Regions from separate parts of the Mus musculus genome. Here all the other regions are reported to be linked to region 1. The links are microRNA targets in miRTarBase. Many come from high-throughput screens and were not tested one by one. Region 1 holds a microRNA gene; each other region holds the end of a gene's coding sequence.
Evidence for each region. Region 1 holds the annotated microRNA mmu-miR-295-3p (AAAGUGCUACUACUUUUGAGUCU, at 5,513-5,535, shown strand). A microRNA usually pairs through its seed, bases 2 to 8, with sites in the 3' UTR of a target mRNA and lowers its output. Matches are read on the target gene's strand: a 7mer-m8 pairs with bases 2 to 8, a 7mer-A1 pairs with bases 2 to 7 and ends in A, and an 8mer does both.

Region 2: miRTarBase lists Lpl as a target of mmu-miR-295-3p. Seed matches in the 3' UTR shown: 7mer-m8 at 2,420-2,426.
Region 3: miRTarBase lists Usp45 as a target of mmu-miR-295-3p. Seed matches in the 3' UTR shown: 7mer-m8 at 2,282-2,288, 7mer-m8 at 3,452-3,458 and 7mer-m8 at 4,284-4,290.
Region 4: miRTarBase lists Cdkn1a as a target of mmu-miR-295-3p. Seed matches in the 3' UTR shown: 7mer-m8 at 1,419-1,425 and 8mer at 2,091-2,098.

What each region holds. Positions count from the first base shown.
Region 1 is chr7:3,215,303-3,223,421 of GRCm38, forward strand. Mir295 (microRNA 295) reads left to right here and starts at 5,471; the gene lies at 5,471-5,539. Nlrp12 (NLR family, pyrin domain containing 12) reads right to left here. Exons shown (of 10, transcript NM_001033431.1): 10 at 6,208-7,258. The coding sequence ends at 7,171. Mir290a (microRNA 290a) reads left to right here and starts at 3,324; the gene lies at 3,324-3,406. Mir290b (microRNA 290b) reads right to left here and starts at 3,393; the gene lies at 3,336-3,393. It also overlaps D7Ertd143e, Mir291a, Mir292, Mir292b, Mir291b and Mir293, and 1 more gene. RefSeq lists a cis regulatory region at 1-300.
Region 2 is chr8:68,902,855-68,910,973 of GRCm38, forward strand. It overlaps Lpl (lipoprotein lipase), which reads left to right. Exons shown (of 10, transcript NM_008509.2): 10 at 1,652-4,078. The coding sequence ends at 1,652. Among named protein-coding and RNA genes, the nearest start is that of Lpl, 26 kb to the left of the region's middle.
Region 3 is chr4:21,832,273-21,840,391 of GRCm38, forward strand. Usp45 (ubiquitin specific petidase 45) reads left to right here. Exons shown (of 18, transcript NM_152825.2): 17 at 1-45; 18 at 1,963-5,600. The coding sequence ends at 2,093. Among named protein-coding and RNA genes, the nearest start is that of Pnisr, 12 kb to the right of the region's middle.
Region 4 is chr17:29,098,410-29,106,528 of GRCm38, forward strand. Cdkn1a (cyclin-dependent kinase inhibitor 1A (P21)) reads left to right here. Exons shown (of 3, transcript NM_007669.5): 2 at 1-428; 3 at 935-2,313. The coding sequence ends at 984. Among named protein-coding and RNA genes, the nearest start is that of Cdkn1a, 8.7 kb to the left of the region's middle.

The DNA of each region.
Region 1 (8,119 bases):
CCCCAAGAGGTAAGACAGAACTCAGTGCTACAAGCTACTGTCTAACACCTATATGCTTCCATTTCACCTCTGCCCCTCCCTGCAACATACACCAAAAATAAAACTTTTTTTTTTTTTTTTTTTTTTTTTAGGCAGGGTTTCTCTGTATAGCCCTGGCTGTCCTGGAACTCAAATCCGCCTGCCTCTGCCTCCTGAGTGCTGGGATTAAAGGCGTGTGCCACCATGTCCAACAAAACATAATTTTAAAACGCTCACTGTGGGCCAGCTTGGTACAAGCCCATACTCGAGAAAGCAGAGAGAGATGCGTGGATTTCTGTGACTTGGAGGCCAGCCTGGTCTATATAGTGAGTTCCAGGCCTCTCTTGCCTAGCAAGATCCTGTCACAAGAAATAAGCAAGTAAGGAAGTGAGTGAGTGAATAAATAAATAAATAAATAAATAAATAATAAATAAAATTCTTAGGGTTAAGTTAGTGGGGCACTTTGCTTGGTTATGTTCAACACAGTATGAACAGGGAACAGAGTTGCCAAGGCCATCTTGGGAAAGTTGAAGAGAAGCTAAATCAGTAGCTCATCCCAGGCTAGGCTCCTGGCATCCTAGCCTAGAAAGATCCAGTCAGAAAGAAAGAAAGAAAGAGAGAAAGAGAGAGAGAGAGAGAGAGAGAGAGAGAGAGAGAGAGAGAGAGAGAGAGAGAAAGGAAGAAAGAAAGAAAGGAAGGAAGAGAGAGAGAAAGAAAGAAAGAAAGGAAGGAAGGAAGGAAGGAAGGAAGAGAGAGAGAGAGAGAAAGAGAGAGAGAGAGAAAGAAAGAAAGAAAGAAAGAAAGAAAGAAAGAAAGAAAGAAAGAAAGAAAGAAAGAATTATCCTTCTTGTTGCTGCTGTTTGAGGCACAGTTTCACTTGTAGCTGCTTGGCCTACCCATTGCTGGAATTAAAAGAATGTGCCATTATACTTGACCAAACCCATATCTCTATCTGCTTCCCCAAGCCTAAGACCTAGCAAATTGCTGGTGAGGCTTGTTTGTTCAATTAACAAGACATCTAAAGTATATTAAATATGCCTGGAATTAATGACTGAACTGGGCATACTGGTATATGCCTATTCCAGCCCTTGGAAGATTGGAGACAAAGACTTATGAGTCCCCACTAACCAAAGAACACACATGGGCTGGACCTAGGCCTCTTTGCTCACATGTAGCCGAGGTGTAGCTTGACCTTCATGTGAGTCCTAAACAGCTGGAGCAGAGGCTATCCCAAAAGCAGTTGCCTGTCCCGGAGTTATGATGGTCAAACTGGGCTGCTTTGTCTGGCCTCAGTGGGAGAGGAAGCACCTAGCCCCACAGACTGGAAGTGCTGGGGGGGGGGGGGCGACTCAGAGGAGAAGACTGGGGTTGGGGGAAGGATTGTAGAAGGAGGTGACCTGGAGGGGGGCAGTGAGTAGGATGTAGGGTGAATACATTTTTAAAAATTAAATTAATTTTTTAAAAATGTTCCATTACACACACACACACACACACACACACACACACACACACACACAAGGTGTAGACTTAGGAGTCCTAAATTATTCTTGGCTATTTAATGAGCTTATGGCCAGCTTGGCGTACTTGAGCCTTGTCTCCAAAAAACAAACAAACAAACAAACAAACCCTAAACTCCAAGTCTGCAATATGCCTCTGTAGCTTTAGCCCTGCCGCCTGGAGACCTAATTTCAATCCATGGAGCTATTTAAAGATATTTAATAAATAATAATAACAACAACAATAATAATAACAAAAGAAAAACAGCCGGGCATGGTGGCACACGCCTTTAATCCCAGCATTTGGGAGGCAGAGGCAGGCGGATTTCTGAGTTCAAGGCCAGCCTGGTCTACAGAGTGAGTTCCAGGACAGCCAGGGCTACACAGAGAAACCCTGTCTTGAACCCCCTCCCCCCCAAAAAAAACATATTTAAGCATAGGAGAAAACTAACTCTATCATATTGTTCTTGGACCTTCATATTCAGTGTGGGAAAGAAAGAAAGAAAGAAAGAAAGAAAGAAAGAAAGAAAGAAAGAAAGAAAGAAAGAAAGAAAGAAAGAAAGAAAGAAAGAAAGAAAGGTAAAAAAGAGGGAGGATTTGAAACTCTGGATTTAAAAAAAATTCAAACGAAAGAATAAACTGAACCTCCCACATTCTTCCTTTATTTATTTTTATTATTATCTTAATACTGAATGTAGCCCTGCCTAGTCCCGTGCCTAGTCACCATAGTAGACCAAGCTGGCCTTGAACTAACAAAGATCCTCCAGCCTCGGCCTAGAAAACTATAGGATTAAAGGCGCTGCTTCTAGAAACAAACAAAGAAATCTGTTTCCTCTGGGGGGTGGGGGGGAGAAGAAACCAGTGAAGGTCACTCTGCCGCAGGGAAACTCAGCTCAGAGGAAGCAGGGTGGTAGAGTAAGGATTCTCCGGGGTGGGGGAGGGGTATCAGAGCCTCCCAGTCCAGGGGGCCAATGAGCCTTCAGACTATATAAGAACCTAGAGCCTCCCCCACGCCTCTCAGAGACTTCTACTCCACATCGGGAATGCTGGTCTCTGCGGTCTTCAGGGATACCTCCGGCGTGCTGCTTCTCACATAGGCAAAGGTAATATTTTTAGTTTCAGATTTTTTATTTCCTTCAGTTCTGTGGTTTTAATCTACCTGGTTTAGAGAGGCGAAAGTAGATCCAGGATTTCCAGAAGAGAGATCTTCCTGCTTCAACTTTGGAGATGACTAGCCAGGCTGGCCTTTAACTCTCATTTCTGCCTGCCTCTCTGCCTCCAGATTAAAGGTCATCACGGCCATCTTCATTCTACTTTTTAAAAACTAGAGCCCCTTTTTTAAAAGGCAGGCTAGCCGCGAACTCAGCCTTCCTCGCTCGCCCCCACGGTTTGGCTGGGTTTACTAATCCCGAGGCAGAGGCAGGCCCATCTGAGGTTGGTCTGGTCTCCAAAGAAGACATTTAGAACTAATGTGTGTGGAAAAAGAGTTGGGCTTTTTTTTCTGACTTGGTCTACATAATTTCAAGGGAGGAACGAGCCTATGTGGGGAAAGTGAGTAGTCTGGGCGCGAGTGAAGTTTGGGGACCAGAAACCAAAGCTAGGAGTTACTGAGGGCAGGTCTAGGGAGTCTATGCAGTACATTTCATTAACTACGTGGTTTCATTGTAGAAATTTTGAGTTTCACTATACCTTGAGTTAGACCGATGTACTAACTCTTCCTTGATTTCATCCAGGTTTCCTTCAGGTTGGAGTGAATTTTAAGTTCTCCACGTTCTTTCCTCCTGGTAAATGTTTTAACGTCTGGACCGCCTCATCTTGCGGTACTCAAACTATGGGGGCACTTTTTTTTTTCTTTAAAAAGTGCCGCCTAGTTTTAAGCCCCGCCGGTTGAGAAAACGGCTATCTGGCACATTTACCAGCCCTGGTGCCACGTGTTCCGGGTTAACTGCAGCGTGGTGAGTACGGATTCGAAGAAAGGAATGAGACTGAGTATAGCGAAAGGCTAGGGATGGGCATCCTGCCCAGTAGACGGTAACTGAGGTGGTCGTTGTAGGGTACCTGGGGGCTCCATGTGCGTCCTGTCGCTGCTTGGAGCTGTTACACCTATGTAGCGGCCATCAAAGTGGAGGCCCTCTCTTGAGCCTGAATGAGAAAGTGCTTCCACTTTGTGTGCCACTGCATGGGGAAAACATCATAGCTTTGCATCTGACGCATCGGTTTACAGGAGCGGACAACCTGTGTGGGGGTTTAGGCTTGGAGTTTAATGGGTCCTATCCTAAAGAGGGCGGTTCAGTTGGGTGCCACGAGACGCGGATGGATGTAAGGCAGTCGTGAGTCCAGGTGCATTGTAGATTGTTCTTAAGCTTGACCTCCAGCCTGTGATACTCAAACTGGGGGCTCTTTTGGATTTTCATCGGAAGAAAAGTGCCGCCAGGTTTTGAGTGTCACCGGTTGAGAACTCAAAACGGCTAAGAACTAAGAATTAAGTTTTAGTGGGTCATGTTTTCACTGGGGTTGCATTTCTGGGCAGGTGGGTGTCACATGTGGGTTTGAGTCCGAACACTTGGGCGCATGCGGTACTAAAGGCTTTCCGCGTTCATAAAGGAGCCGGGATCCCACATGGGCCTCGCTCGGAGGAGCTGAGCCTCAGGTCTTGGAAGTTGGAACATACAGTGTCGATCAAAGTGGAGGCCCTCTCCGCGGCTTGGCGGGAAAGTGCATCCATTTTGTTTGTCTCTGTGTGTACATGGCGTCTGAAAAGCCGGCTGCAGCTGCAACCTGGAATCGCTTACCTGCTTGAAACAGGTATGTGTGCTGGAGGTGAATTCGTTGCCACTGGCTACTCGAGCTGCAAGGCTGGAGGTGAGGAGGAAGCAGGGCAGGGTGGAAGGAGGCACTCCAGGTCCAGGGGTGGTGAGTCTAAGCCTCAGGTCTGAGTAAAGAAAGGCCTACTTTTAAATCTCACGTGGCCGCCATATTAAGTCCTCTTTCAATTTTTTTCCTTTTTCTCCAAACAGGGTTTCTCTGTAGCCCTGGCTGTCCTGGAGCTAACTCACTTGTAGACCAGCCTGGCCTCAGCTCCATCCACCTGGGATTAAAAGATCCTATATATCTTGCTTGACTACTGTAGTTGCTATATCTTGCTTGACTACTGTAGTTGGACTGATGGTTGTGAGTCTTGATATGGTTGGATTGAATTTTTAGGACCTGCTGGCTGTAGCTGACTTTAACCTGGCTCCTAGCACAAACAAGCTTGGTGGACAGCCGGGTAGATAATACCCATAATACCTTTTGGCTTTACAATAGCCCAGGCTCATGAGGGCTGGGATTACAGGTGTTACATTGTGTGCCCTAAGCATAATCTTCATGGATTCTCTTTGTTTTTCAGGTGTTCCAGTTGAGTTGAATGTAATCCTGCCTAGCCTGGGGTACTTACTTGCCTTCAACCTGCCTGGCTGGCTGGTCTGGCTAAGAACTGACTATAAAGTTTCAGGTTTATTACCACAGCAGGTCCCTGTGGAAATGCTTCAATCTGTGGTACTCAAACTGTGTGACATTTTGTTCTTTGTAAGAAGTGCCGCAGAGTTTGTAGTGTTGCCGATTGAGAAACTGCAGTTGGCCTAAGTGTTGCATCATTTGGGTGTCATCTGTGGGTATGATTCAGTCTGTAATGGGGCAAAAGTAAAAGCTGAGGTGCACGGAACCTCACGGGAAGTGACCCAGATTTGACAGGTACTGTATTACATATAGCTGCATTTATCCTTTTGGCATTGAATAATCCTTAATCTTCAGTTCAGTTGTAGGCATGTTTGGATCTAGCGAAATTCCATATAGCCATACTCAAAATGGAGGCCCTATCTAAGCTTTTAAGTGGAAAGTGCTTCCCTTTTGTGTGTTGCCATGTGGAGAAAGCATCGGAACTTCAATCAACCAGAGACTCCTTGCTTGCTCATCTTGGTGAGACTCAAATGTGGGGCACACTTCTGGACTGTACATAGAAAGTGCTACTACTTTTGAGTCTCTCCTGTGGGCACCATTCACAGGTCGGCTGCTTTCATGCATGTGTAGTGTGTATCTGAATCCAGATGAAGGTTTCCTGGAACTGGGACATGTGGGTGCTATTGAATGAACCAAGGTGCTATGGGAGCAACCAGTGCCCTCAGCCTCCAAACATGAATAATAAAGTCTTGTTCTCTTGATTTTGCTGCTTTCTCAGTTTTTGTTTTAAAACACCCGCCATGGTTCCTAGGGATAAAAAAAGCTTGCAAGCATGCAAGCACCCTTTTAATCACTGGGGTTGAGACTAAAGGTAATCCTGGGCTATACAGAAAAACCCTGTCTGAAAAAATCCCCAAAAGTTAAACCAACACATAGCTGGAAGTGTTTTCAACAGTAATAGGGCACCTTTTGGGAGACACCCCTGTTTGCCTCTTGGGATTTAGGCATGCCACCCCTCCAATGGTTTTAAGGAAGAATTACCCTGTACTAGCTTAAAGGTGCCTTTAAGCATAGCCACATTTAAGCCCACATTTGTTTATATACTGTGAGTCTTTTCCATTTCTATACATCATGGCCAGTTCCTTTTAGTGGAGTGTCTGGATGGTTACAAGCTAACCTGAAATGGGGTGGTGCCAGGTTTTAAAAAGTAGTGGGTTGGGGAGCAGGGTGTGGGGGAGGATATAGGGGACTTCTGGATAGCGTTTGAATTTAATATAATAAAGGTAGATCTCTGGGTACTGTACTGGAAGTGGGCGGAGTTATCCCATTATAAGTGGTGGAGCTACCACGTGGTTGCTGGGAATGATGTCTGCCAGGCCTCACTAGTGTCAGGTCGTGAGTCATGCACAGCCATGATTTCTGCATCCTTGGCCACCTTGCTCAGTTTTCTGGAGTGTTGAGATTCAATGCGAACACCACCACAGCTGGGCAAAATCTAATAACCCAGGATAGGATGGGAGCATTGGCTGTCAACTATACCAGGTGTGCAAATCTTGGGTTTTGAGGCCTCATTTGTAAGGTGCCTTATACCTTTAGCCCCAGCCCACTTTTTTTTCCCCCTGCTGTATAAAATTCAGGTGTGAGTACAATTTTTCTTTTTAAAGATTTATAAGTGTTCTGTAGCTATCTTCAGATTCACCCAAAGAAGGCATTGGATCCCATTACAGATGATTGCAAGCCACCATGTAGTTGCTGGGAATTGAACTCAGGACCTCTGACTTAACCACTCCAGCCCTTGAGTACAATTTTTGAAAAATTACCTTGTGGGTCTTTATGCTGTGACTTGGCCAGTAGATGGCAGTCTTGGTCCATGGAAATGTCTAGGACTCTGGATATTTTTCCTTTTCTGTGGTCTTTACTGATCTTCAAACCTGCTAACCAGCCAATCCCCGTCCTAAATTATCTGCGTGGAATCTACATCAAACCCAGTGAGCTCCATCAAAGGTTGAGTGTTTAGGTCTCAAGCAGAACAATTTTGTCAACCTGCACTTACTGGGCCTCCTGACCTAAGACGGTCCCATGTAACAGGATGACCTTGAGTGATCTTGTCTCCACCTCACCATATACCAGAGGCTGGCCTTTAAAAGTTCCACCTCAAGTGCTTCAAAGCAGAGGGAATAAATATCCTGGTCGGCTTCATTCTGGTTCTCCTTACTGCTCAACACCCAATATCCAGGTACGGTTTTGTGACTCGAAGTGCTGCCATCCTCCTGTGAGTCTTTTTATTCAGGTCCATCCCAAACAGCCTGGGGACAAACATGGGACTATCAGTACAGTATGCTGCATTTTAGCCTGGTGAAAAGGGAGTCTCCCTACTCCTTTTTAAATATTTACTGAGGCTTGATCGTATGCTTCTGCTCTTGCACAGGTCAGTCTACATACAACCATTCAACCCGTTTAAATCCAGCTCCCAGGGATAGGACATCCCCTTCTTGCCTGTGGTTCCCGCATGCATATATATATATGTGTGTATGTATATATATGTATATATATATGTGTATATATATATGTATATATATGAATAATTAACATAATCTTAAGTGCATGGTAGTTGAGACAGCTCATGGAGCACTCACCTCAAACTTGGCCTCAGACTTTACAAGTACATGCCCTGGGATTCCGGAACATAACAAATGCAAATTTTTAAAATACTTGTAGGGTTAGTACATGTGTACACTTGAGTGCTTTCCTGCTGAGCCATCTTCCTAGCTCATCTTTTAAGATAGGATCTCACTAAGTTGCCCAGGCTGTCCTTGAACTTGGGACCCTCCTCTGAAGCTGGGATCCATACTCCTAGGTTTTCTTTGTTGACTGTATGCCATGATGTGTCAGCGAGACAGAGATGAGTTTTCTGTATGTGTTCTCTCCTACTCATGGGTCATGAGGACTGAACTCAGGTAATCAAGGTAGACGCTTCACCTGCTGAGCCCTCTAACCAGCCCTTTGTTTTATTCATATCAGTATTCTGCATACATGTATGCCTGATCCTCCTATATGCAGTGCCAATGGAAGTCAGAGGATGTTATTGGATCCCTAGGATCTGTAGTTATAAGTGGTTGTGAGCCACTAAGTGGGTTCTGGGAGCAGGGTCCTCTGCAAGAACCAAT
Region 2 (8,119 bases), not on the chromosome of region 1:
GTTAGCTACATAGATGTTATCTGAAAGGCAGGGAACACTGTGGCTGTATGTTCTGCACTGTGTCTCATATCAGCTGTAGCCACATGGTCACCTTCTTGCTCCAATAGCTACAGATTCCAGGACAGGACCACAGGGGAGACCTAAACTGTGTCAAAACCCCAAATATGGGGAGAAAAATGGAGTGAGAGTACAGGAAACTGTTATCCTATCTCAAAACAACTGCAGGCTTGTCCGTCCTACGTGACCTCTGGGGCTAATCCCCATGGCAGCTGGCAGCAGAATCTTTCCAGCACGTCAATGCTAAGTGGAGACCAAGCATGTGACCTTCCATCTCCTCTACCAAGCTCTCAGGATACGCTGTTTTTATCCCTCCCCCTTGTTCCTCTGCCAGACCCCAAGTGCTAATAGGTTACACCTATTAAAGGAAGATACTAGATAGTGCCACAGAAGCAGTGATACAGAAACAATAACAGATGCTGGTCACAGAGTCACTGGGCCATAGAAAAAGCATTTGTTTTTGCTTTCTCCTGTTTTCTAGATTATTATAAGCACAAGTACCAAATAAAGTTAGCCTCTTCAGAAAAAGAATATTAAGGACCTACTATGAGCATGTCATTTAAAATATCTACCCAAATATAACCTGTATGTGCTCACTATGGACAGATGAGGAAAACCAGACAGAAGCAAAGTAAAACCAGTAAGGTCTTATCAGTAACGTTTGACATGTGATTACCAGTTGTATTTATAACCTTTGTCACTATACATACATGGCATTTGTATGTTCTCACATCACAAACACTGGGGTATGGCAATGAATAAAAAGAAGGCGCCATATGGATCCCAAACATCACTGTGAGTGCCCAAGAGAACTTGACATGGAGAAGAGCTAGCCAGCTTTAAACTGGCAAATGACTCTTAACTGAGGGGAGAAATCCAAATCATAGATCCAAGGAAACTTCATACTTACCTCCTCTTTGAAATAGGGGACTCCAGTATAAAAATTTAGATATGCACACAAACACATTTACATACACCTACCTTCCCCCATGCCCATCTGCAACTTTAAGTAGCTATTTAAATATAAAAATAAAGGCCCCTTTAATAAGTAAAAACCCCAAAATTGAGAAAATACCTTCAATTATTTAAGAAGTACTTAGATAGCCCTGTTTCTAAGAAATCATCTGAGAAGGTCCATCTGAGAAGGTCCAATGATGTGTCTATGGTGTGTTCATAGGGTTTCTAAGCAACAGATACATAGGAAGCCATTACTTGAAATGCATTTTAAATTTAGGATTATGAGTCAGCCAGTGCTCTTCAAGGGTTTTTAACTCACAGACTCTCAGTCTAATGTCCCCTGTTAACTCTTCAGAATGCCCACAAAGAAAGAATGAAGCAGACTTTCTATTATGTTTAGAGCATAGGAAATCTTTGTGACTTTTGTCATCACATGACCTGGTCTTCTGAAGATGATGCTCAGATGGGGGCCTCTCTATTTCTGCCCCAGGAGACTACTGCTTTTCCACATCTATAATCTGCACCACACAAGCTCTGTTCGGAACGTCACTGCTTCCTCCTGACAGTGCTGGGGAGGGAATGGATTTGTAGAAGACAAAGCAGATGATTAAATAGCCTTTCTTCTGTATTTCCTCAGACACTGGACAAACAAACAAGAGAAGAAAGCATCTGAGTTCTTTGAAGACAGAAGAAAACAAAGTAAATTTAATTTAAAAAAATAATACCCTTGTTTGGGTGTTTGAAAGTGGGTTTTCCTGAGTATTAATCCCAGCTCTATCTTGTTAGTTAAACAGAAGACAGTCTCAAATATTAAACGGTGGCTAACCCAGGGTGAGGAATCTAATGGCCCATAGCAGGTCTTCCAGCATTAGAAGACAGCAGGCAGGAGAAACATGCTGTCTTGTATCCCTTAAGAAGGAATCATTTGCTCCCAACAATATAAGACTCCATCATGTGACCCATTTGGTCATGGTCTAAAATTAGTAAGAACTCTGAGGTTTTATATTGAGACCTTTTCAAAGTTTTCTCAAAGTCTAATATAGACAATATTTTTTGTGGCATAAGTCAGGTCCATTTCTTTAGTGATTGAAACACCTGGCCTTTGCAACTAGTTTTTTTACCATTGGGATATATTCCCCCCACCAAAAAAAAAAAAAAAAAAAAAGTAACCAGGAACGTGTGACTTGGCAAAAGCAGTTGAAGACATGGCTCATGAAGTCCTGACCCTTGGTCCCACCACAACAAAGTACAAGTCAACAGAGATACAAAACCTAGACTGAGTAATTCTTAATAGACTTGAATTTTTATGACTTAATCCTTCTATCTTTTAAATATTTGTCAGATATTTTAACATTGTTCTCTGGAGCTTGTAAGCTGGGCAATGGTGGCACTCACCTTTAATCCCAGCACTTGGCAGGCAGAGGCAGGAGGATTTCTGAGTTCAAGGCCAGCCTGGTTTACAGAGTGAGTTCCAGGACGTCCAGAGCTACACAGAGAAACCCTGTCTTGGGAAAAAAAAAAGAAGAAGAAGGAGAAGAAGAAGAGGGAGGGAGGGAGGGAGGGAGGGAGGGAGGGAGGGAGGGAGGGAGGGAGGGAGGGAGGGAGGGAGGGAGAAGGAAGGAAGGAAGGAAGGAAGGAAGGAAGGAAGGAAGGAAGGAAGGAAGGAAGGAAGGAAGGAAGGAAAGAAAGAAAGAAAGAAAGAAAGAAAGAAAGAAAGAAAGAAAGAAAGAAAGAAAGAAAGAAAGAAAGAAAGAAAGAAAGAAAGAAAGAAAGAAAGAAAGAAAGAAAGAAAATGAGCTTGTAATTGAGGTGACACATAAATTTTGCTGAAAGACAAAAATGCCTAGGTTGATTTTACTTCTTCTCTTTTTTGCTTTCTTGAAAAAAGTCACAATTGTCCCATGCTGTAACCAAGTCTGGCCTCGAACTAAACTATGTATTTCAGGCTGGCCTTGAACTCTCAACCATCCTGCCTTAGCTTCCTGTGTCCTGGGAGCTTGAGAACTGTAATTTTATTATCAGATTTTTCTTACTTGTTTTCATCAATTTGAAATGCCCAATATCCAATACTTTGTATTTCATTTGAGACTCATCTCCGCCATGCCTCTGTCACACTTCTAACACATCACATTAATTTCTAGTTTAGATGTGATCAAGTTCAAATTCTGCACTGTGCAAAGTACAAGTTTTAGAGCAGGACCATTTTTTTTTATCACATAAAAGTTGAAATTACTAGAAAATGTGCATATGGATGCTTGTAAACTGCTGTGCAAAGAGAAGAGCCCTCAACTGTAATAGCTATAGAAAGTACCAGGATTGTTGCCGCTGTTTTGTTTTACCTTAACAACAACAACAACAAAAATCAATAATGAAGAATTATTTATGAACGAGATCTCACATTTTCAGATTGCTTTTATTATTCATTAATGTAAAATGATAAAGAAGATCTATCTCAGAGGCTATAGCTGGGAGCAGAAACTGTGAAATTTGTGGGTATCTGAACACCAACCCACATGCAAAGCCCCACAAGTGTAGTCGTCATTCAATGTGATTCAGAAAGGAAAGAGTCAAGGGATATACTGGAATATGTTAGAGAAGTAGTTCCAGATATGCTGGAATGTTAGCCCTTGCTAGGAGAAAGCTGGTTGTGCCTATGTAATATAGGACAAAGGTGACCGATTTCATCAAGTTTGGAGTCAATTCTAACAATAAAAATATGTATAATTTGTCACCGGCATCCCCATTATTGCTAATTCATTACAGTATATACACATCCATGCATACATATGTCAATGATGCTTTAGCTTTCAATTTATTTATTAGCTGTAAATAATGTGTGGGTATGTAAGAATGCTTGTAAACACTGGAAAGTCTGTTGTGGTTATCTGCAGTATAGATTTGTGGTGCTAACTTTGTGTCCGTCTCCATCCATGATTGTCTGTCTCACTGAGCCAACTTAACTCTGATGAAACAGTACAATGAAATAGGCTTTTGAAAGAAGAAAACTCACCTGTGTGAAGAAATGGTATCTGCTTTCAATAAAACTGAGAACATTTTATCATGATACTAAGTCATCATTTTGTATCATTTAGCCCTTTCTAAAGAAGAAATTAGATTTATTCTTAGGCCAGATTCAGACAACAAATTTTGACTGAATAACCACTAAAACATAGAAGTAAAATAAGTTTCCCATTAGATGTCTGCCTGACCAGCTAAGGAAATCAAATGGATCAATGTAATCTCAGCTCCTCTGCTCTGTGACAGTGCATATGTCCAGACTTCCCAATAAGCTACTGCTACACTTTGGGTACCAACAAGTTTATTACATCTCCCATCTTTTTTTTTTTTTCTCACAATACTCTAGATGGGACACCGCATCTGGAGACTAAGCATATATGCACATACACAGAACAACGGGACCAGGACCAGAGCAGAAATCAGTTTCCACAGTTGCTCCAATGACTGCTGACCCTTGGTGTCAATACCCGAATATGTGTAGTCTCTCCCTCATAGATATATGTGACCAAGAGCATGCTGAATAAGTTATAGCATATTGTTCTAAAAACTCAGGTTATTGTAGACTTCACCTTCCACTGGGGTCCCTCTTTCATGCTGACTCTGTCTTGGGGCACTCACCTGGAGGAATTCACGTTAATAAAACTCTAGAGAGGACCATGCGATACCAACTGCAGCTAAGACCATTCAGAGCCCAAAACTGGAACTCTGAGCATATGAGTAATTTGAGCTAGCTCCCTTACATCTAGTCAAGCTCCAAGGGCATAAATGAAAGATACATAGTTTGCTTTATCTTACTAATTTACTCCGTGTAAGTAAAACATTTATAAGTCCAGGTTTTGAAAGAACCAAGGAAGGTTAGTTACTCCTGTACTGAATTATCTGCAGGGTGGGTTTAATTTCCAATACTTTCTTTCCCTTTCTTTCTTTTCTTGTTAATATAGAACATAGAATTTATTACAGAGTAAAGTAGAATAGTCTCAAGGGGTCAGAGTAGACAATAGCCAAAGCTACCATGTTGTGTTAGAGACTAATGCACATACACAGAACAACGGATAAATGTAAAGCTACCATGTTGTGTTAGAGACTAATGCACATACACAGAACAACGGATAAATGTGTGCTTACTCCAGATAGGAACTGACAACAGAACAAATTAGTGCTATGACTGAGTTTAGTGTCGTTACTTACAGAAATATGAGTGAGGGCTTACTTACACAAGCTTCATAACTGAAAGAACACTCTAATGCACGTGACAACTCATCAAAGCTGCAGCCCTGGGACTCTCTGAGTGACTTGCTGACAGCTCACCAGGTGGGAGAGTCTGTTTCCTCCTCAGTCCTTGCTACATATATCAACAGTGGGGAGCAAGGGGCCTTGCAACTCCACTAAGGTTCAGGGTAGTCTTGATAGCTATAAGGTACTTCCTGAATCTGAAGAAGTCTTTCTTTAGAGTGTCCCAAGTCCTACCTAGCATTCCTCCAGGATGAAATGTCCTGTTTCAAAGGGAATTGGTACACAACAGATTGCCCATATATTGCTGTTTTTACCTATTAATACTACACTTTTCCACAGGATAGGATTGTTTATGCAGACATTCTTCAACCAAATGAGATCTGCAGCTAAGAATAGCCAACTGAGTTATATAACATTGCCATCCAGAAAATTGGTTCAGCACACAAACTCTCATGAAATTCTTGTGGTTTGTGAATTTCATGACTATTAGTTGGCCCACTTCCCCCTGCACTTCCAGTAGCATAACTGCAAGTTGTTGGGTGGTCTGCTTTTTCTAGCTTTGAGGACCTGTAGTCAAGTGTCCTTCAGCACAGGGACTAAAGAGGTAAGGTGGAACCTTCCTGGAATATACAAAGGTCTAGCTGAAGAGACAGAAAAAGCCAGCTGGCATTGTGTCCCAAGTCCTAGCCAAGCTTACTGAATGCCTCTCCAGTCATTACACTGTGTGTGATAAATAAGCTGTCACTAGGCCTAGATGACTCAGCAATTGGGACATTCTAGAGGAAGAGAATTGAACTCTCTCCCTAGAAGCCTGGAGGATATGGCACAGGAAAGGGAGCAGCAGAAAGAGGTTACCTTCAAGCTCACTGCACTGAAGATGAGTTTCTTTTGAGATGCACATGTTTGCACATAACTCCACAGGATAGCCACTGTGCATCCATATAAACCATAGCTTGTGCCCCCTTGCCAAACCTGATGGAGAACCCTGAGTCCTGCACCAATCTCTAGTCCAGACATCTTCCTAGGATCCATAAGTCTTTATTGTTTGATTCCATAGCTATACCTTCTCCCACACACTTTAAAAATGTTGTTGGCTGTCTGTTATTTTTCTTTTTCTTCCTTCTCCCCACTTGGTGTGGTTGATCAAACTTGAGGTCTTGTATATGATGCTAGAAAAATATCTGCCCTTCTACAGTGCTCCTTTTTTATTTCAGATCTTTTATTTTTGTTTTGGAGTAGGCCAGTCTGTTGGTCCTCAAATCCATGGTCCTCATCTCTCTTTCCTTTGAATTGAGATTGCAAGTAAGTATCACCATGTGCAGACTTTCCCATTCTTTATCACAGAGCTACACCACCAGTCTTATGGAATTATTTTGATTCCTTCTTGCCTTAAACTAATTTGAATGTGGTCTTATAAAATCTCTACTGAACTCTTAAGACACTACTTAGAAACTACTAATTCACTAATGTTCTAGACAAGAAATTTTATTTTGCTCATTAGATCTTTTTGGAGTTCAGGGTTATAACCAATAAGTTACTCCTGACCCACACTTCAGGGAATCCTTAAGCTGCCTATTTATCCCACCAGCACTGGACCTGCAGGCTGGATGTTAGAAATGAAGTAACTGTCTGGTTGTCCTCATTGCCACTCTACAAACTTCATGTGGCTGTCTTATACTATTTCATTCCAATCAGGAATACTTGAACTTGGCATTGTACATGCTTTCCCACAGCAGAGTTCCAATGGGGGGAAAAAAGTTCTCCATTTGATATCCTCAGTCTTCTTATCAGAGATTAGGTTACAGTAAAGCTGAGTGGGAAGCCCCACAGGCTTACGAATAAAGGTTATGTATAGAAAGAGCCACTCAAGCATGAAACACAACTCCCCCCCAGGTATAACTTTTGCTTTTTGGAACAAGCAAAAATAAGCAAAGAGATGGGCAAGAAAATAAAGATGTGGTCAGAACAGGTTTACACACTCACGTTGGTTTTAGGACACAGACATGCGAATAACTGGCAGCTTGAAGGCTGCTAGAAGCGCTAAATGAGAGGTTGGGGTGGTGGCTCAATAAAGTGCCTCTGGTGCATGCAAAAAGACCTGTGTGGATACCCAATCCAGCATTCTTAAAGCATGTGGTAAGTGGAATACATAGAGACTCTCATGCCAGCCAGCCTGAAGGATGAAGGTAAGAACCAGCACCCAGTTGTCTTCTGACCCACATATGCATACAGCAGCAGGAGTGCACTTGAACTCACAGACAGCAACACACAGTCCTAAACTCTCTCTCTCTCTCTCTCTCTCTCTCTCTCTCTCTCTCTCTCTCTCTCTCTCTCTCTCTCTCATTAAGAAGAGAAATGCAGTTGATACTGGTTTGTGGTTCTAGATGGCCATGTTGTTCACTTCTGGAGGAACAGAGGGGTAATAGACATGGAGGAAGCCCTAATTACATGCAATCTCAGTATAAGGATCAATTTGCAGTCTAGGGATTTGCTGACGAATTATTTACTGTTCCCAATATTCCTACTAACACTGATTTTCAGGAACAGTTACCAAAACTCAAGTAAAACACAAGGAATCGAGTCAACTTGTAGTTGTGGACTTGTATACATACAAGCCAAGGGTAGTAGGTGAAGTAGGCAAGTGAGTTAATCACCATGCAAAGAAACGGCATCTTTGTTCCAGGACTGTAATAGCTACAAACATGTCTGATGGGATCGTGACGGTGGAGTGTCTTCTCACAAAACTGCATGGAGGTTTCCGTGGTGTCATTTGAATGATAAAACGTATGTAGAGTGGTCTGCTGGGCACAGCTATGGAAAGTTTGTTCACACTTCAAATGATTTTCAAACATTG
Region 3 (8,119 bases), not on the chromosome of region 1:
CCAGGAAGCTGTCCGAGTGCATCACCGGGAGGAAGACTGCAGCCGGTACGCCACCTAAGGATATCTCCTCCTAAAAGCTAAAGATTTATTCTGACTTTTTAGAAAAGGAGCTCCAAATGGATTCATTTTATTAATCTTAAGTCTGCTTAGATAATCTTCAAGAATCTTAATCATCACAAAGTAATATCCTTTTAGGCAATATGAATTGACAATTTTTTAAAGTTACTTCAGAGACGCAGTAGTTCTTTGCTGTTGTTGTTTTTTGATTTTGTTTTTGTAAAAACAATATGTGTGTGCATGTGTCTGTGTCTGTGTCTGTGTCTGTGTACTGGTGTGCACAGCATAATGTGGCTGTCTGCGAGTAAATACCAGCAGTTTGTTCTGGCCTTCCATCTTGTTGTCCTGATTTTGCCCCTGGGCTGTGTATGTCAGGCCTGGGGACTTCTGGGCTATTCTCTTGCTGCTGCCTCCCATCGTCCCATAGGAACGCTGGGATAACTGACACATATCACTGATAGATGAGTGGTTTTGCCCTGGTTGTGGAGTCAAATTCAGATCATCAAGCTTGTGTGGCTAGTGCTTCTAACCACATCCTCAGCCACATTCCCCTTTTGAAGATACACCAGCTATCAGAGAGCGGGACTTGGAAACGTGCTAGCTATTACTGTAGGTCATTGAGTTTGCTTCTCCATTCCCTGGATTCCTTTCTTTTCAAAGGGTTTAGATTTTGTCAATGGGTGTCTGCGTGAATGTGAGGGTGTAAAGTGCACTTGCGCAAAGAGTCCAGAAGAGGGCATCTGATCCCTGGAGCTGGAGGTGCAGCGCTGGCTGCGATGCTCGCAGGTGCTGGGAACTGAACTCTTAATCATCTGCAAGAACAGTATGTGCCTAGCAAACACAGAAGTGGATGCTCACAGTCAGCTATTGGATGGGTCACACGGCCCCTAATGGAGGAGCTAGAGAAAGTACCCAAGGAGCTAAAGGGAACTGCAACCCTATAGGTGGAACAACAATATGAACTAACCAGTACCCGGGAGCTCTTGACTCTAGCTGCATATGTATCAAAAGATGGCCTAGTCGGCCATCACTGCAAAGAGAGGCCCATTGGACTTGCAAACTTTATATGCCCCAGTACAGGGGAACGCCAGGGACAAAAAGGGGGAGTGGGTGGGTAGGGGATTGGGGGGGTGGGTATGGGGGACCTTTGGGATAGCATTGAAAATGTAAACGAGCTAAATACCTAATTAAAAAAAAAAAGAAAAAAAAAGAAATTTTTAATTTAAATAAAGCCATCGTTGAGCCAGGAAAAAAAAAAAAAAAAGAACAGTATGTGGTCTTAACTGATGAGCCATCTCTTTTACCTCCCCTTTATTAGTTGTGGTGTTGTTAGGTTGTTGTTTTATTTTGACATAGGAGCTCACTATGTAGCTCTGTCTAACTTGAAACTTACTATATAGATTAGGCTGGCCAAAAAATCACAAAAACTACCTGCTTTTACCTCCCTTATGTTAGGATTAAAGGTGTGTACCACCATGTCCATCTCTGTTATTAGCTTTTAACATATATTTATTATTTGTGTGTGTGTTGTATGTATGTGTGCCTATGTTTGGCTGTCAGAGAACAATCTCATGTACTCAGTTCTCTCCTTCCACCTCTGTGTGGGCTCTGGGGATGGAGCTGCTGCCCAGGCTAGCACAGCAAGCCCCTTTCCTCCCTGCACCATCTCACCAGTTTCTCCACCTTCTTTTTTGGTGAAAATGAATATTTCTCTGGGAAACTAATTATTATAAGGCTAATATTTCACTAGATTTTTAAGTTAAAAATTTATTAACTGGAAGTAGTTATCAATCTTAGATCTTATAGATCTTAGAATTAAATACAGCTCATAATAACTGTGTCAGTGTTTACAATTTAGAAGACATAAACACACTAACTGTAAAATTGTACTTTCTGTTCTGCTAGGTTTGAAAGAACCTGATGGTGAATTGGGAGGCCACTGGGTCCATGTCAGCGACACCTATGTGCAGGTGGTTCCAGAGTCAAGAGCCCTGAGTGCACAAGCTTATCTTCTTTTTTATGAAAGAATATTATAATATCTGTTCATTGTTATTTAGTTCATTTTTATTTTAATGCTGAAGTCGTAACCATAATATGTAATGTGCCTTCTTAGTCTTTAGGAATAGTGCATCCTTCCAGCGTTATTTAACTCTTTCAACATGTGGTGAATCCTTTAAAAAAAAATTAATTAATTTGACAGGCAGTTGTGCATGCCTTTAATTCCAGCACTTGGGAGGCAGAGGCAGACAGATCTCTGTTTGAGGCCAACTAGGGCTATTCAATAAAACCTTGTCTTGAAATATTAAACAAAAAGTTAATTAATGCTTTCAAATCTATATTCTTTTTTTTTCTTTTTTTTTGCTTTTGTGAGACAGGGTTTCTCTGTGTAGCCCTGGCTGTCCTGGAACTCACTTTGTATCACTTTGTAGACCAGGCTGGCCTCGAACTCAGAAATCCACCTACCTCTGCCTCCCAAGTGCTGGCATTAAAGGCGTGCGCCACCACTGCCTGGCTCAAATCTATATTTTTAAATGTAAAAACATGTTTTATGTTAATTTTCATGTCCATGGAAATTGCCCCTACACACACACACACAGAGTTGATAGTAAAGCAACCCCCTCTATGATATGACTCATCCTTACATGCATTCAAAGATGATGCTAAATTGGATCTTTAGTATACTATTTCCTAATGTAATACAACCTTCCTGAGTGGATCCAATATATCTTATGCTACAATTTGCTTACTTTTTGTTGAAGCCTTTTTTAAGCTTGGCTGTTTTGAATCATACTTCACATTTTTATGTGCTAGTTATTTTTCTAGTAAACATTGATGTGAGTTTATAACTATGAAAGGAAAATCATACATCCTTGCACCACCCCACTTTAAATCATCTCAGGGCTCTGCAGTGGTGTGTGTGTTAGTCTATAGGAAAAGTTTCTAGAACAGTCTGAACTAGTGCCTAATGTAACATAATTAATTTTTCATATTTTATGTGAGTCAGTAGTATAAAAAGGAGCCATTGTAATTTTGGTAGTGTGAGTTTACAAGTAATGAATTGATTCGCTTATTGCTTTGAATATTTGAAGGTATTGAAACATTTCATAAACTAATCATTTGCAGTCTTTGAAAGATAATTTACAACACATAAAACTGGTAAATAGAAGTTATAGTCTATATAGGAATATAGAATACTTTAAAGTTTAAGGATATCTTTGAACTGTAAACCACCAAATTATATTTATAAATGGTAGAGATCATATTCTTATAACCAACAATGAATATATAATACTTTTTTACTTCTATACATTAATACATGTTAAGCATAGTTTTGTCTTCATAAGCATTTATTTAAAACTTCAGGTGGATAGTTAGGGTTGTAGTTCAATGGCAAAGCACTTGCCTGGTTCCATCCCTAGCAAAACAAAGAAAATATTCAGGTGGGCTTGGCTACTTTCATGGGACACAGACTTGCCACTTCTGTTCCCCTTAAATAAGCAGTAACACAGAATAGTTTCTTCTAGCATTCAAAGGATTGAACTGTGAAAACTTAGCATGAAAAATATTACTACCAAGATTTTCAATAATCAATGAAGTGGCTCACTGATACATAGTATTGAATCAAGATGTAAGGGAACAGGTTCAATGTCTTAGTCATCAGTGCCTGTGTTTGATTCTATGGGCAAATGTGAGGGAGAGAGGCTGTAAACTGTCCAGACCTTTAGCCAGGATGGAACCTTCTTAACATGTGTAACATAAAGTCCCCAGTGTTGCCTCTTGATATGTGGCTGGGTGAAACTGATTGTCTAATGGAGACATTTTAAGATTGTGGAGAAATTTTCAATGGTATTTGAATTTTTTTAATTGAAGGTGAAGAAATATATTTTATCTGTAGAGCCCAGTTGTGTCCTCTAAAAAGAACTTTCCAGTGTCTTCTGTTTCATCAGACATTCAGTGTTATTAATCTATTGACACGGAAGAGTCTAGCACCAGAGCAATGAATGAGAAAAATAATTTATTTGTTCAAGCTAGCCTGTCATAGCAGTTGCACCCACACCCCCAAACAAATGCAAGCGGTCAGCCTTTTTCCCCCCTCTCTCCTGGAAAAGATACTATTAAGACATGTACAATCTAAGCAGGTTCCAATACCGGGCATATGATAGTATTTTATGAGCCTTTAAAACAGAAAAACCTGCTGAGTGATGGTGGCCCATGCCTTTAGATTCAGCACTTGGGAGGCAGAGGCAGGTGGATTTGAGTTCAAGGACACCCTGGTCCACAGAGCAGGTTCCAGGAAAGCCAAGACAACACAGAGAAACCTTGCCTGAAAAACCTTGGGGAAAAAAAAAACACCCTAAAATCTATATGATTTTATACATTATTCTAGTAGTGATGTACAAATAAAATGTTCATTTATTACCTAGTTCTGAGGAGATTCTGGAATGTATTTTTTTTTAATGACCTAAAGTTTGAGTGTTTTTCTTGTCACCTGAAAATGTAGGAAAATGGTTTGATTTGATATCTAGGAATTTCTTATCAAGCTTATGTAATATAGAAAAATCACCCAGATCTACACTTAAATTTTTGTTCTTACTTTGAAGTTTTCCAAAGCACATTTGTAGAAATTTTAAATTGTGAGGCCACTGTACTAACAGATTACCTCAGGAAACCGTGCAAACAAACAAGAATGTTTACAGATCCGCACAACTAGTCAGTGCTTTGGCACCGTGAATTTGAAAGGTAAAAGAGAGAAGTTTTTATCTAGAAACTGGTTTACAGGGTACCTCTAGCCCCAGTTCTCCCCTGACTTTCCCATATTTAAAATAATAAAATTCTGATGATGTGCCAATTATGTGAATGCTTGTGACATAAACAAATATACATCTGTATTTAAGATTTGTTGTTTAATGTTTTAAAAAATAATATGAAGACTGCTTATGTAGGTGGTCAAGGGGATGATCATATATCAACAGAGCTATTTTACCATAGTTCTTAGCTTGCATGTGTGATTAATTAGTGATTTTTATGTAATACTTGAATAAGATATCCTGAAGATATGAAATGTCTTCGTGAAATGTAGCTGTGAAATGTCACCGCACATCAAATTTTTATAGTACAAAATAACATCCTGCCTACTTTCATGAACTTTATACTCAGCTTATTTTTCTGCATGACATCTGGTCATATAAACCTAAACCAAATATGTGCGATAAAATCAAGCTTTCAGCTAGCATCCATTGCAGTATTAGAGAAATGATTTCTGCATTAAAATGTTTTTGTTCATGCAGAAATCATCAATTGAAATGTGTTTAAAAGATGATTATTTTTAGGTATCAGTAATACATTCATGGTATCATTCCTTCTCTTTCATCCAGTTTTACAGTATTTTAAAAATATCTGTGTAACTTATTGAGCATTATTTGATCATTGCTGTATGTAAAAGATCACAATAAATATTAGATTCTTATGTTAATTGATTAGGCCTAGAGTTTTTGCATTATACATTGTTAGCAGAATGTTAATAAACATTGTGTCATTGCCTATTTTAGTTCCCTGGCTTGCTATAAACAAGATATAACTGAGGAGTTTGTGAACAACACTTTCTGGCCTACACTCTTAGAGGTCAGGAAACTGAGGACACAGACAAACAGATCTACTGTCCACATGAGGCTCTGGGGGTGCGCTCTGAGTGTTCACCTGGTCAAGGAGGAAGGGTTTCACAGTCAGAACCTAATCACTTTCTAAATACTCCACTTCACAGAACTTTCACATGGGGAGTTTGTGAATGGGGCACAAACATCTAGTTCATAGTGGCCTTCAAGTTCCAGGAATGCACTATTTTAAAATAAATTTGTCGCCAATCTAATACTAGGAGTTGTATCTATTAGTTCTTCCACTGAGCTACGTTTTCAGTCCAGAAAACAAACAAACCTGTCAGCTATTTCTCATAATGATTTGAGTTATTTAGATAGGATTGTGTCTTAGTCAGGGTTTCTATTCCTGCACAAACATCATGACCAAGAAGCATGGAAAGGGTTTATTCAGCTTACACTTCCATACTGCTGTTCATCACCAAGGAAGTCAGGACTGGAACTCAAGCAGGTCAGGAAGCAGGAGCTGATGCAGAGACCATGGAGGGATGGTCTTTACTGGCTTCCTTGGTCTGATGGAAAGATGGAATGGCCTGTACAGTGCCAATTAGGTGGTAATAGCATGAAAGGCTGGGGCAGAGTTCTTCAGAAGGCAGTATATGCTTTGAATCAGTGTTCGATATATGGTGCAGTTTCCCCCATAGCCAGGATCCATGGGTCCAGGAATCAAGGGGTGGAAAATGGAATAGTTCCACTTACTATCACTCCTAGTGACCCTCTGGGAAAATTTTTGCTTCCTGTCCCCATAACTCTAGGCTCTGCAGGCCTAAAAGTTTTGGCTCCAGAGAGGGGAGTGCTCCTACCAGGAGCTACAACAAACATTCCATTGAACTGGAAGCTCAGACTTCCCCCTGGTCATTTTGGGCTTCTAATGCCCTTAAACCAACAGGCTAAAAAAGGAATAACAGTGTTAGGAGAGGTGATAGATCCAGATTACCATGGGGAAATTGGATTACCTCTTCACAATGGAGGTAAGCAAGATTATGTCTGGAATGTAGGAGATCTCTTAGGGTGTCTCTTAGTACTACCATGTCCTGTGATTAAAGTCAATGGGAAACTACAACAGCCTAATCCAAGCAGGATGACAAAGGATGCAGACCCATCAGGAATGAAGGTATGGTCAATCCTCCAGGAAAAGAGCCAAGACCTGCTGAGGTGCTGGCTGAAGGTGAAGGAAATACAGAATGGGTAGTAGAGGAAGGTAGTTATAAATACCAATTAAGGCCATGTAACCAGTTGCAGAAACGAGGATTATAAAGTAATATGAATGTCCGTCTTATTTTGCTAACGAATATATTTGTCTTTCTTCCAATTTCTTTAACATCAATTTGTATTTAAGTTGAGACACTAAAAGGATGTTCCCAAAGGACATTGTAAATTTACAAATGTGTTTGCGATTGTACGAGGATAGTTATATCATGTTAGGTGTATTCACAACCTTGTTATTGTTTCATGTGAACATGAGATATTATTTGTGTCAAGTTGACAAGGGGTGGATTGTAGTGGCTATTCCTGGTTGTCAACTTGACTATATTTGGAATGAACCACAATCCAGAATTAGAAGGCTTACCATCGACCCTTATCTGGAGGCTTGGAGATAGAAGTTTCTGATCTAGATCTTGGTATGGAGATCTTGAGGCATAGTGGCTATGGATTCCAGAAGATTAAATCTCTGAGTTCAAGGTCCTCTGGGATTAAAGGTGTGGTAAAACACACCTTTAATCCAGGCTACACCTTCTGCTGGAGACAATATAAGGACATTGGAAGAAGGGAGTCTAGCTTGCTCCCTCACCTGCTTGCCGTGTGGGACTGAGTAACTGCTAGATCCTTGGACTTCCATTCATAGCTACTTCTGAACCATTGTTGGGAATTGGACTGCAGACTGTAAGTCATCAATAAATTCCTTTACTATGTAGAGACTATCCATAAGTTCTGTGACTCTAGAGAACCCTAACTAATACAGATTGTATACTAGGAAATATGTTGTGTACATGTCTGTTTGTTTGTTTTAACTCTTTTGGAGTCATAAAGCTTTCAGAGGTTATGATGAAAATTATATACTTTTTTTTAGAGTATATAAAGGCAGGTTTATTGGGATGTGGGTTTACTGGTCCCAAGAATGAGGACAGGGAAGTTGCCGTGGCAAGGGAGAAAGAAGGGAGGTAGATGAGAAAGAGTGTATACATTCAGAGAGAAGAAAGAGAGAGAGAGTTATATACTTAACATTTTTATTTGATCATTTATGTGTGATGGTTTCTATATTCTTGCCCCAGGGAGTGGCACTATTTGGAAGTGTGGCCTTGTTGGAGTAGGTGTGACCTGGTTGGAGTAGGTGTATTACTCTGGGCATGGGCTTAAGACCCTCACTGGAGCTGCCTGGAAGTCAGTCTTCCACTAACAGCCTTCAGATG
Region 4 (8,119 bases), not on the chromosome of region 1:
GTCCAATCCTGGTGATGTCCGACCTGTTCCGCACAGGAGCAAAGTGTGCCGTTGTCTCTTCGGTCCCGTGGACAGTGAGCAGTTGCGCCGTGATTGCGATGCGCTCATGGCGGGCTGTCTCCAGGAGGCCCGAGAACGGTGGAACTTTGACTTCGTCACGGAGACGCCGCTGGAGGGCAACTTCGTCTGGGAGCGCGTTCGGAGCCTAGGGCTGCCCAAGGTCTACCTGAGCCCTGGGTCCCGCAGCCGTGACGACCTGGGAGGGGACAAGAGGCCCAGTACTTCCTCTGCCCTGCTGCAGGGGCCAGCTCCGGAGGACCACGTGGCCTTGTCGCTGTCTTGCACTCTGGTGTCTGAGCGGCCTGAAGATTCCCCGGGTGGGCCCGGAACATCTCAGGGCCGAAAACGGAGGCAGACCAGCCTGACAGGTAAGGACAGGAGCAGAGAAGGAGAAAGATCCTGCAAGAGGCCTGGAGAGGAGAGGCCACCATTTGAGGATGGCCTTTACAGAGAACATTCCAGCCCTTCCCCACCACCAAGCCATTCCATAGGCGTGGGACCTCGTGGGGCTCAGAGGAACAGTTGATGTTCATATGATCCAGGCATTTTTCTCTGCAGTGACCGAAATGCCCAGGATAGTGTGGTGATTGGCAGTAGAGCTCTAAGAAGGGAGCCGGGCTGAAGAGATGGCTCAGCAGATGAGGGCACTTACTCTTGCTGAGGGCCTGATTCCCAGCACCGGAAATGACAACTTCCTATAACTAACTCTGGGCGTTGGGGGATCTACCCTCTCTAGAGCCCTGTCCCTCTGACCAGGAGGTGTTGTGCCCTGTGGCTGTGGCTTTTCCCCACGATGAGCCACATGTCCCTTAGACTCTGGGGAATGATGTCCTTCCCCTTGGCATCTGGCCTGACATCTGTTCTCTCTCCACAGATTTCTATCACTCCAAGCGCAGATTGGTCTTCTGCAAGAGAAAACCCTGAAGTGCCCACGGGAGCCCCGCCCTCTTCTGCTGTGGGTCAGGAGGCCTCTTCCCCATCTTCGGCCTTAGCCCTCACTCTGTGTGTCTTAATTATTATTTGTGTTTTAATTTAAACGTCTCCTGTATATACGCTGCCTGCCCTCTCCCAGTCTCCAAACTTAAAGTTATTTAAAAAAAGAACAAAACAAAACAAAAAAAACCAAAACAAAACAAACCTAAATTAGTAGGACGGTAGGGCCCTTAGTGTGGGGGATTTCTATTATGTAGATTATTATTATTTAAGCCCCTCCCAACCCAAGCTCTGTGTTTCCTATACCGGAGGAACAGTCCTACTGATATCAACCCATCTGCATCCGTTTCACCCAACCCCCCTCCCCCCATTCCCTGCCTGGTTCCTTGCCACTTCTTACCTGGGGGTGATCCTCAGACCTGAATAGCACTTTGGAAAAATGAGTAGGACTTTGGGGTCTCCTTGTCACCTCTAAGGCCAGCTAGGATGACAGTGAAGCAGTCACAGCCTAGAACAGGGATGGCAGTTAGGACTCAACCGTAATATCCCGACTCTTGACATTGCTCAGACCTGTGAAGACAGGAATGGTCCCCACTCTGGATCCCCTTTGCCACTCCTGGGGAGCCCACCTCTCCTGTGGGTCTCTGCCAGCTGCCCCTCTATTTTGGAGGGTTAATCTGGTGATCTGCTGCTCTTTTCCCCCACCCCATACTTCCCCTTCTGCAGGTCGGCAGGAGGCATATCTAGGCACTTGCCCCACAGCTCAGTGGACTGGAAGGGAATGTATATGCAGGGTACACTAAGTGGGATTCCCTGGTCTTACCTTAGGCAGCTCCAGTGGCAACCCCCTGCATTGTGGGTCTAGGGTGGGTCCTTGGTGGTGAGACAGGCCTCCCAGAGCATTCTATGGTGTGTGGTGGTGGGGGTGGGCTTATCTGGGATGGGGACCCCAGTTGGGGTTCTCAGTGACTTCTCCCATTTCTTAGTAGCAGTTGTACAAGGAGCCAGGCCAAGATGGTGTCTTGGGGGCTAAGGGAGCTCACAGGACACTGAGCAATGGCTGATCCTTTCTCAGTGTTGAATACCGTGGGTGTCAAAGCACTTAGTGGGTCTGACTCCAGCCCCAAACATCCCTGTTTCTGTAACATCCTGGTCTGGACTGTCTACCCTTAGCCCGCACCCCAAGAACATGTATTGTGGCTCCCTCCCTGTCTCCACTCAGATTGTAAGCGTCTCACGAGAAGGGACAGCACCCTGCATTGTCCCGAGTCCTCACACCCGACCCCAAAGCTGGTGCTCAATAAATACTTCTCGATGATTTATAATGTCTTGTCATTAGAGCAAATGGTGTGTGTGTGTGTATGTATGTGGTGTGTGTCTGTGTGTGTTGTATGTGTGTGTGCATGTGGTGTGGTATGTGTGTGTGTGATGTGTGGTGTGTGTCTGTGTGTGTTGTGTGTGTGTGTTTGGGACTGGCTACTTGTGCTGTTTGCACCCACCCGGGGGGTGTGTCTGTCTGTGTGTGTCTACAAGTGTACACGTGTGCAATAATTCCCCATCCCACTCCCCCAGTGATGGTACTTGAACCTAAAGCCTTGAGCAATATAGGCAAGAAAGCCATCACTGAGTTGTAGAACTCCATCGCTGAGAGAGTTGTAGAACTCCATCGCTGAGAGAGTTGTAGAGCTCCATCACTGAGAGTTGTAGGGCTCCATCGCTGAGAGAGTTGTAGGGCTCCATCGCTGAGAGTTGTAGGGCTCCATCCCTGAGAGAGTTGTAGGACTCCATCGCTGAGAGTTGTAGAACTCCATCGCTGAGAGTTGTAGAGCTCCATCGCTGAGAGTTGTAGAACTCCATCGCTGAGAGTTGTAGAGCTCCATCGCTGACAGTTGTAGAGCTCCATCGCTGAGAGTTGTAGAACTCCATCGCTGAGAGTTGTAGAACCCCATCGCTGAGAGAGTTGTAGAACCCCATCGCTGAGAGAGTTGTAGAACCCCATCGCTGAGAGAGTTGTAGAACCCCATCGCTGAGAGAGTTGTAGAACCCCATCGCTGAGAGAGTTGTAGAACCCCATCGCTGAGAGAGTTGTAGAACCCCATCGCTGAGAGAGTTGTAGAACCCCATCGCTGAGAGTTGTAGAACCCCATCGCTGAGAGCTGTAGAACCCCATCGCTGAGAGCTGTAGAACCCCATCGCTGAGAGTTGTAGAACCCCATCGCTGAGAGAGTTGTAGAACTCCATCACTGAGAGTTGTAGAACTCCATCACTGAGAGTTGTAGAACTTCATCACTGAGTTGTAGAACTCTATCACTGAGAGTTGTAGAACTCTATCACTGAGAGTTGTAGAACTCCATCACTGAGATTTGTAGAACTTCATCACTGAGTTGTAGAACTCCATCACTGAGAGTTGTAGAACTTCATCACTGAGTTGTAGAACTTCATCACTGAGAGTTGTAGGACTCCATCACTGAGAGTTATAGAACTCTATCACTGAGAGTTGTAGAACTCCTCCATCACTGAGTTGTAGAACTCCATCACTGAGAGTTGTAGAACTCCATCACTGAGAGTTGTAGAACTCCATCACTGAGAGTTGTAGAACTCCATCACTGAGAGTTGTAGAACTCCATCACTGAGAGTTGTAGAACTTCATCACTGAGTTGTAGAACTCTATCACTGAGAGTTGTAGAACTCTATCACTGAGAGTTGTAGAACCCCATCGCTGAGAGAGTTGTAGAACTCCATCACTGAGAGTTGTAGAACTCCATCACTGAGAGTTGTAGAACTTCATCACTGAGTTGTAGAACTCTATCACTGAGAGTTGTAGAACTCTATCACTGAGAGTTGTAGAACTCCATCACTGAGATTTGTAGAACTTCATCACTGAGTTGTAGAACTCCATCACTGAGAGTTGTAGAACTTCATCACTGAGTTGTAGAACTTCATCACTGAGAGTTGTAGGACTCCATCACTGAGAGTTATAGAACTCTATCACTGAGAGTTGTAGAACTCCTCCATCACTGAGTTGTAGAACTCCATCACTGAGAGTTGTAGAACTCCATCACTGAGAGTTGTAGAACTCCATCACTGAGAGTTGTAGAACTCCATCACTGAGAGTTGTAGAACTCCATCACTGAGAGTTGTAGAACTTCATCACTGAGTTGTAGAACTCTATCACTGAGAGTTGTAGAACTCTATCACTGAGAGTTGTAGAACTCAATCACTGAGATTTGTAGAACTTCATCACTGAGTTGTAGAACTCCATCACTGAGAGTTGTAGAACTTCATCACTGAGATTTGCAGAACTTCATCACTGAGAGTTGTAGGACTCCATCACTGAGAGTTGTAGAACTCCCTCACTGAGAGTTGTAGAACTCCATCACTGAGAGTTGTAGAACTTCATCACTGAGTTGTAGAACTCTATCACTGAGAGTTGTAGAACTCTATCACTGAGAGTTGTAGAACTCAATCACTGAGATTTGTAGAACTTCATCACTGAGTTGTAGAACTCCATCACTGAGAGTTGTAGAACTCCATCACTGAGAGAGTTGTAGAACTCCATCACTGAGAGTTGTAGAACTCTATCACTGAGAGTTGTAGAACTCCATCACTGAGTTGTAGAACTCCATCACTGAGAGTTGTAGAACTCCATCACTGAGAGTTGTAGAGCTCCATCACAGAGAGTTGTAGAACTCATCCATCACTGAGATAGTTGTAGAACTCCATCACTGAGAGTTGTAGAACTCCATCACTGAGAGTTGTAGAACTCCATCACTGAGTTGGAGAACTCCATCACTGAGTTGTAGAACTCCATCACTGAGTTGTAGAACTCCATCACTAAGTTGTAGAACTCCATCACTGAGAGAGTTGTAGAACTCCATCACTGAGAGTTGTAGAACTCTATCACTGAGAGTTGTAGAACTCCATCACTGAGTTGTAGAACTCCATCACTGAGAGTTGTAGAACTCCATCACTGAGAGTTGTAGAGCTCCATCACAGAGAGTTGTAGAACTCATCCATCACTGAGATAGTTGTAGAACTCCATCACTGAGAGTTGTAGAACTCCATCACTGAGAGTTGTAGAACTCCATCACTGAGTTGGAGAACTCCATCACTGAGTTGTAGAACTCCATCACTGAGTTGTAGAACTCCATCACTAAGTTGTAGAACTCCATCACTGAGAGTTGTAGAACTCCATCACTGAGAGTTGTAGAACTTCATCACTGAGTTGTAGAACTCTATCACTGAGAGTTGTAGAACTCTATCACTGAGAGTTGTAGAACTCCATCACTGAGATTTGTAGAACTTCATCACTGAGTTGTAGAACTCCATCACTGAGAGTTGTAGGACTCCATCACTGAGTTGTAGAACTCCATCACTGAGAGTTGTAGAACTTCATCACTGAGAGTTGTAGAACTCCATCACTGAGAGTTGTAGAACTCTATCACTGAGTTGTAGAACTTCATCACTAAGTTGTAGAACTCCATCACTGAGTTGTAGAACTTCATCACTGAGTTGTAGAACTCTATCACTGAGAGTTGTAGAACTCCATCACTGAGAGTTGTAGAACTCTCACTGAGAGTTGTAGAACTCCTCCATCACTGAGTTGTAGAACTCCATCACTGAGAGTTGGATAACTCTATCACTGAGAGTTGTAGAACTCTATCACTGAGAGTTGTAGAACTCCATCACTGAGAGTTGTAGAACTCTATCACTGATAGTTGTAGAACTCTCTCAGCGATGGGGTTCTACAACTCTCAGCGATGGAGTTCTACAACTCTCAGCGATGGAGCTCTACAACTGTCAGCGATGGAGTTCTACAACTCTCAGTGATGGAGTTCTACAACTCTCAGTGATGGAGTTCTACAATTCTCAGTGATGAAGTTCTACAACTCAGTGATGGAGTTCTACAACTCTCAGTGATAGAGTTCTACAACTCTCAGTGATGGAGTTCTACAACTCTCAGTGATGGAGTTCTACAACTCTCAGTGATAGAGTTCTACAACTCTCAGTGATGGAGTTCTACAACTCTCAGTGATAGAGTTCTACAACTCTCAGTGAGAGTTCTACAACTCTCAGTGATGGAGTTCTACAACTCTCAGTGATGGAGTTCTACAATTCTCAGTGATGGAGTTCTACAACTCAGTGATGGAGTTCTACAACTCTCAGTGATGGAGTTGTAAAATTCTCAGTGATGAAGTTCTACAACTCAGTGATGAAGTTTTACAACTCAGTGATGGAGTGCTACAACTCTCAGTGATGGAGTTCTACAACTCAGTGATGGAGTTCTACAACTCTCAGTGATGGAGTTCTACAACTCTCAGTGATGGAGTTCTACAACTCTCAGTGATGGAGGAGTTATACAACTCTCAGTGATAGAGTTCTACAACTTGGTGATGAAGTTCTACAACTCGGTGATGGAGTTCTACAACTTGGTGATGAAGTTCTACAACTCAGTGATGAAGTTCTACAACTCATTGATGAAGTTCTACAACTCTCAGTGATGGAGGAGTTCTACAACTCTCAGTGATAGAGTTCTACAACTCTCAGTGATGGAGTTCTACAACTCTCAGTGATGGAGTTGTACAATTCTCAGTGATGAAGTTCTACAACACAGTGATGAAGTTCTACAACTCAGTGATGGAGTGCTACAACTCTCAGTGATGGAGTTCTACAACTCAGTGATGGAGTTCTACAACTCTCAGTGATGGAGTTCTACAACTCTCAGTGATGGAGTTCTACAACTCTCAGTGATGGAGGAGTTATACAACTCTCAGTGATAGAGTTCTACAACTTGGTGATGAAGTTCTACAACTCAGTGATGGAGTTCTACAACTCAGTGATGGAGTTCTACAACTCTCAGTGATGGAGTTCTACAACTCTCAGTGATGGAGTTCTACAACTCTCAGTGATGGAGTTCTACACCTCAGTGATGGAGGAGTTCTACAACTCTCAGTGATGGAGTTCTACAACTCAGTGATGGAGTTCTACAACTCTCAGTGATGGAGGAGTTCTACAACAACTCTCAGTGATGGAGTTCTACAACTCTCAGTGATGGAGTTCTACAACTCAGTGATGGAGTTCTACAACTTAGTGATGGAGTTCTACAACTCAGTGATGGAGTTCTACAACTCAGTGATGGAGTTCTCCAACTCAGTGATGGAGTTCTACAACTCTCAGTGATGCAGTTCTACAACTCTCAGTGATGGAGTTCTACAACTATCTCAGTGATGGATGAGTTGTAGAACTCCATCACTGAGTTGTAGAACTCCATCACTGAGAGTTGTAGAACTCCATCACTGAGAGTTGTAGAACTCCATCACTGAGAGTTGTAGAACTCCATCACTGAGTTGGAGAACTCCATCACTGAGTTGTAGAACTCCATCACTGAGTTGTAGAACTCCATCACTAAGTTGTAGAACTCCATCACTGAGTTGTAGAACTCCATCACTGAGAGTTGTAGAACTCCATCACTGAGAGTTGTTGTAGAACTCCTCCATCACTGAGAGTTGTAGAACTCCATCACTGAGTTGTAGAACTCCATCACTGAGAGTTGTAGAACTCCATCACTGAGAGAGTTGTAGAACTCCATCACCGAGAGTTGTAGAACTCTATCACTGAGAGTTGTAGAACTCCATCACTGAGAGTTGTAGAACTCTATCACTGAGAGTTGTAGAACTCCATCACTGAGAGTTGTAGAACTCCATCACTGAGAGTTGTAGAACTCCATCACTGAGAGTTGTAGAACTCCATCACTGAGTTGGAGAACTCCATCACTGAGTTGTAGAACTCCATCACTGAGTTGTAGAACTCCATCACTAAGTTGTAGAACTCCATCACTGAGTTGTAGAACTCCATCACTGAGAGTTGTAGAACTCCATCACTGAGAGTTGTTGTAGAACTCCTCCATCACTGAGAGTTGTAGAACTCCATCACTGAGTTGTAGAACTCCATCACTGAGAGTTGTAGAACTCCATCACTGAGAGAGTTGTAGAACTCCATCACCGAGAGTTGTAGAACTCTATCACTGAGAGTTGTAGAACTCCATCACTGAGAGTTGTAGAACTCTATCACTGAGAGTTGTAGAACTCCATCACTGAGAGTTGTAGAACTCCATCACTGAGAGTTG